2 linked regions of the Saccharomyces cerevisiae S288C genome follow. The gene in region 1 interacts genetically with each later gene. Each region holds a gene or a part of one and is shown in the gene's direction. Other genes may lie near its edges. The genes, in order: YFL041W-A and PRP3.

Evidence for each region.
Region 2: mutations in YFL041W-A (region 1) and PRP3 together harm fitness more than expected from each alone (negative genetic interaction), as found in Saccharomyces cerevisiae (one large-scale study listed by BioGRID).

The regions. Positions count from the first base shown.
Region 1 is NC_001138.5:47,105-49,716, forward strand, and holds YFL041W-A (uncharacterized protein), read left to right. Parts: upstream 1-1,629; coding exon 1,630-1,821; downstream 1,822-2,612. Other genes in the region: LAM5 (Lam5p), read right to left, coding at 1-640; ferroxidase FET5, read left to right, coding at 2,035-2,612.
Region 2 is NC_001136.10:1,403,945-1,407,744, reverse strand, and holds PRP3 (U4/U6-U5 snRNP complex subunit PRP3), read left to right. Parts: upstream 1-1,890; coding exon 1,891-3,300; downstream 3,301-3,800. Other genes in the region: JIP4 (Jip4p), read left to right, coding at 1-281; TRAPP subunit TRS31, read right to left, coding at 3,572-3,800.

The DNA.
Region 1 (2,612 bases):
GTAGTCTGTCATCTTTAGGAACGGACTTGAATGTCTCATGAAAGTCTTTATTTCTTTGCTCAGACGCATAGTGATAAGGTGTGTCCATGTAACGTTCTTCCACGAATCGTCTATGATCGTAATTGTCTTCTTTCATTTGGGAAGGAGTGAGTCTTGTCTTGACCTCATCAGGCTTTTCCACCTGTTGCAAGGGAGAGCCTATTTCAGCAATTGTGGCATTACTGATACGGCGGCTTGATCTTCTTTTGGACCCCATGGAAGGCTCCCTTCTATGTGATATAATGCTTGGTTGCGAAACTGGCGAAGTTGGCGTAGTTGATCTAGAAACTGGGGATGGCACGTTTGACTTAAACGAAGAGATCATTCCACTGAAGAACGAGGACGTCGAAGAAGTCCTTGATTGATCGTGCTTGATCTCTGTAGGGTGTTCATCGGCGGCACTTTGGTTTGTAATCACTACTAAATTCTTGCGTACGTCGTTGGTCTCTGTATTTAGGGGCACTTCTTGCAGTGACTCAGCTTCAGTATCGCCGGCATTGTCATTGTTACTTGCATGCTCAAAGGGGGGACCCAATTGTTTCACAGAATCAGTACTGTCCTCATTATCTGATACGGGTTCCCAGTTATCTACATCCGACATCACCACTAATCTTTTTGTGTAGTTGCCTTCTTCACCCTTTTCTCAGATAGCGAAATGGTTGAGTGTTTTAATATAATTGTCAAGATGCTTTATGAAAAAGGGTGGGAGAAACAAGTCCCCCTGCTCAGCGATACGCGATCTCTCTGATCTCAGACATAAAGCAAACATTCTATCATGAGTGACATTGAGGATGACGGTAATTGGTAATATCTGACCTTCTGACCTCCACTCAACACAATGCAGAAAGCTATCAAATGTTTTGAACCAAACATGAAAGAGATTCAGAAAGTTGCCAAGCCAACGTGATGTCACAGGTCAAAGTTTAAGTGAAGGCTATTGGAATCTGCGGATCAGACATTCACTACTACACGGATGGCCAGGTCAGCGTAAAGTAACCTGGGAAGCCCATGACTTTGGGCCACGAATCCAACGGTGCTGTTCTTGAAATTGAAGTATCTCAAACTACTGTAAAGCGGGTGATGCAGTAAGCATATAGCCCTCATACCCAAATAGGTTTACCAAAGAGTTTCTGTGAGGCCATTATAGTTTGCAGCTCAACATACCATTTGCTGCATCACTGACCGTGACGGCACCCTTTGTCAAGAGTTCGTGGTTAACGTCGACTGCGTTTACTGATTACCGTTACAGTGAATTTCTAGCAAGAGTCCTCTGTAGATGCCACTATTTGTCGCTCTCCATGTAGTAAGGCCGTCCTAGCTGAAGTGTGGGGAGTAAGCTGTAGTTATAGGTGCTGGAACAATTGATCTGCTGGCGGGTGCGGTACTCAGAGGGTTTGGTGTTCATGAGTACACATGATTCCAAGAAAGAGCAAAATGGACAGTTTATAAACGCTATGAAGAACTGCTATAATCAGAAAAAAAGGAAGCCTGATGGATTCGAGTCCTCAGGTACTCAAAAGAGCGTTGAGAATATGCTAAAATGTGTCAAGAACGGTGGAACAGTTAAGTAGGTTGATATCCACCCCTCGAATGAAAATGTGGGGACCCTCCCAACGAGATTCCTTCAGAGAGATTACATATAAAGTGAAATTCAAGTATGACGATGGTGACTACTCCTTGGCCATTGATTTGATGTCTAGGGATTGTATTAATGTCTATGAGTTGATTACCGATAGGCTACTGGTTGATTTCCTTTCAAAAAAGCTGCTCAAGCTAAGATAGGTAAGGTGTTTATAGAATTTATCGAACTGTATCTAAATATTTTTAATATTCTTGTTTTATTACTTTGTGGCTTTTGTATTCAGTCTGCACCCTGTTTCGCCATCGATTCTTATAATACATACATTTTTATATAAGATCACAGAAAATACGAAGACGTAAAAAAAGAGTTCCGAATGAAAGAAGAAAGAATCAAGCACAGGAAGACAAGAAACGATGTTGTTCTACTCGTTCGTGTGGTCTGTACTGGCCGCTAGTGTTGCTTTGGCAAAGACACATAAGTTAAACTATACCGCTTCTTGGGTAACTGCCAATCCTGATGGATTGCATGAAAAAAGGATGATTGGTTTTAATGGCGAATGGCCACTTCCAGATATCCATGTTGAAAAAGGAGATCGTGTTGAGCTTTATTTGACTAACGGCTTTCAAGACAATACTGCTACTTCTCTACATTTCCATGGTCTTTTCCAGAATACGAGTTTGGGGAACCAGCTTCAAATGGATGGTCCTTCTATGGTGACACAATGTCCCATCGTTCCGGGACAAACATACCTGTACAACTTCACTGTCCCAGAGCAGGTAGGAACGTTCTGGTACCATGCACACATGGGTGCCCAGTACGGTGACGGTATGAGGGGTGCATTTATCATCCACGATCCGGAGGAGCCCTTCGAATATGATCATGAACGAGTCATCACTCTATCGGACCATTATCACGAAAATTATAAAACGGTTACCAAAGAGTTTCTGTCAAGATATAATCCAACCGGTGCTGAACCTATTCCTCAAAATAT
Region 2 (3,800 bases), on another chromosome or scaffold:
CTTCAAAGTCATATAGTGTGAGTTCTGGTAATAAGGATTCATCTTTGAGGAAAGTCAGTAGCTCATCTTCGCTCAGAAAAGTAAAATCTAATGATTCGAACTCTGGTAAACGTATTAAAAAACCGGTCGTAACTTCAGCACACTTGAAACCAAGCTCAGGCGGTGGTGGTTTATTCTCTTTTTTTAAGAGTAAATCGAGATCCCCGTCATCTTTCAGAAAGGAAGATGAGAGTAAAAATACGCCTAAGCGTGGCGGATTGTTTGGGTTCGGAAGGCTGTAGTTGGTCTTACGTTCTTATGTGTTTATTCGATATAATTCTATAACATTTTTATGACTTTGTGCCTTTATGCATAACATGTATTGTACATATTAATCGACAAAAATGACATTCAATACCCTACACTAGTAATTAATAATGCTGCAATTCCATCATCGCATTCTCACCTAAAAGAAATGTGGACAGTGTTCATTATAAGCTGGGTTCCTATTCGTATTTCCGGCAATAATGCGTGCTAAGTGAGTTTGTAAAATCGTTAAAATGAGAATCAATGTACAAGGTTAGTATCACGTCAATTCTTTCAAAGCTTTATATTATTAGGTATACCTCCTTTGAAAGTAGCACCAGTCAAGATAATGGATCTTTATCCATAGTTATTGCAATTACTTTCAAAGCAATGCGGTTGTTATTGTTGCAAAAATATTGCAATATTAACTTCTTAGGAATGGTGAATTGAATTGTGTCGTAACATACGCTGTAACCCTTGTCTTTTGGGTTTAGAATGCGGAAATGAAAAACGTATAGAACATGATGAATCTACGAAGTGCAAGGTCCACGAAACAAGACAGTATCGTTGCAATTCAGTGAAATCCTTAAAATGGTTCAAATATAGATACTGGCTATCTTTTTCATTATATTGGCTTCTTTGACCTGTCACAATTATAGGGTTCAACAGTTATCTTTGGAGGAAGAAGCTGCTCATTGATGAGAAACAGGATTTATGGAAGAGAAGTCACATTCGTGAAAGGCACATTCATCAAGAAATTTTATTTTTTCTTTTGTGCTTCCCAAATTTACTGCCATACTACTCCATTTTTTGACAGCTTATTCATTTAAGAATACGACCTAACAATAGTATTCCGGAACTTTTTAACAATATCAATGACGACTAAGAGAAAATGACAACTGCAGGGAACAGATTTTAGATTTGAAAAAGCCATGACATGATACTACTATGTTCTAGATGTGTTTTATCTCCTTTTCGGTAGCATTTTTTTGGTAATTATCTAGTACGAGAGGTGACAAAATCTGTTGTTCTCCTTTAGGTTGTCGTAGTCAACTTTTTTTGTAGGAAAATTCTTGCAAGTACCCTGAAGTTATGTATGATGCAAGTCTATTGATTGTAATCAATAAGTTTTTCTAGCTCTGGCTTGCTATGTAACGTAGTGAACAATCAATGTTATCGAAAAAGTTTAGGTAAAATTCTCGAAAATGAATGCTGATAATTACTTTTTCTTCACTCCCCAATTTTGGATAATACTTGGCAGCTATATTCGCGAAACAGGAAGGTTAAAAACTGCTTCTCCAATGAAACAGTAGTTAACATATCCATTTAGCTAGAGATACTGCTTTTGGCCTCTGGACAGGCACTGTGAATTGTTCTTATATGTTCTAAAGTAAAGAGCCATGACTCAAAGAAAGTTTCTTGACTATGTTAATTTTTTTAGCATACAAATTTTAATATTATTCACATCTGCGTTTTTCTGACTGGATCCCGCACTGATCAATAACAAGAAATAGTCCTAGTAAAGTATTAGAATGCCAGATGACGTAAAACAATCAAAAAGACTCACAGAAAACATCAGGCGATCTATTGAATTGGCTTGAAAAAATGCCCCCAAGAAATACCTATGAAAAAGGTAATCCGAAACGCCAAAATAGTCCATATTATAAGCCAAGTTTCTTACGGCGTGAAGAAACTACCAATGATGAGGAGAAGTTTCAGGGCCATGGTCTGAAAACCGAACTTCACTCAGCGTTAAAGTCTTCAAATTTGAATCTTATCCGAAGAACTTATCAAACTGGTGAAAATCCCTATCTTAGTGATCCACACGATCGAGGCTCATCGAGCAGATTTAACAGGCGTTATGAACGGGGTCTGAAGTTTTACCAAAAGGGAGAAATCAGTAAAAGAATTGCCCAAGAAAGAACATTACAAAAACAGCAGGAGGAGGAAGAATTAAAAAGAAAGTTAAAACAAGAAGAAGACGAGAAAGATAAAAGAAAATTAATTGAGTCAGGTGATTTACCCAATTTAGAGTTACATGAGGATAAGTTCCTATTAGATTTGTCAAAGTTCAAGATATACTATGATAATAATCATGGCTATGAATGGTGGGACACGGCTTATTTAGATGAAAAGGGTGAGTTGATGGAAAAATATGACATGAATGGCACATCGCCTGCCGAAGAAAAGCTAGCAGAAGATATTGATGAAGTAGACGATGATGATGATGATGAGCACCCATCTATAAGATATGTAGCACATCCCTTACCTGAAAAGATCAACGAGGCAAAAGTATCAATCAAAGCATATCTAACGCAACATGAAAGGAAAAGATTAAGGAGAAATAGAAGGAAAATGGCAAGAGAAGCACGGGAGATAAAAATTAAGTTAGGACTATTACCTAAGCCTGAACCGAAAGTTAAACTAAGCAACATGATGAGTGTTTTCGAGAATGATCAAAACATAACGGACCCAACTGCCTGGGAAAAAGTAGTGAAAGACCAAGTGGACCTCAGGAAGAGAAAACATCTGGAAGAAAACGAAAGAAGACATGAAGATGCTATTAAAAGAAGGAAAGAAGCAGTCAATATGAACGTTGAAAAGCCGACAGTATACCATTGTAAGGTGTTCCAGTTCAAAAACTTACAGAACCCAAAAATAAGATTCAAGTTGAAAATGAATAGTAAAGAACTATCACTAAAGGGTTTATGCCTCCGTATACGTGATGACGGACCAGGAATAATTATAGTCGTGGGTAACGAAAAATCATGCAAATTTTATGAGAATTTGGTGATGAAGAGGATAAAATGGAATGAAGATTTTGAGTTGCACACAAACACTGGGGATATAAAAATGGACATGCATAATAATTCAATATCAAAAACTTGGGAAGGCTATTTACAAGATTGTAAATTCAAAGGCTGGTTTATGAAAGTATGCAATGATCAGGATTCTTTATTACGTACGCTGGGTCAGTTTGATTCAGAGCATTTTTATTCACCTGTTCAAACGTGATATCGGTGTCTACAAAATGATACGCTTTGTTTCATATTAAATATTATTTTACTGTATGTCGCCCAGAATAATGATTTTTTTAGCACAAAAACATTCCAAAATATAAAAAGAAAATGATTTTATATGATAGATGTACTTCAAGGAAATCGACAATTAAAAGAATCATTCTTCGTAATGAATATATGAGCATATGTCTATAAATCAACAGTAAATATACAAACTCTTTATCCTTTTCTTGGTTTTAGGTATTTACCGATGTTTTGAGATGATATCAGCCAAATCTCAAACCTTCCCTGTCAAGCACTTGCCTGTCAAATTGGATCAAATAAACGGTTCGTTGACTATGTCCGCCTTGGGGCATTCGATGTGCTGTCACGCCACATGGAAATCCAGCATTGAAAAGGAATCCTTTGATAATGCCGCAAACGAAGTACTCACAAGAAACGTTCTCACCTGGGATAAATTGGGTTAAAGTGGGGAAGTTATCTACTATCATATAT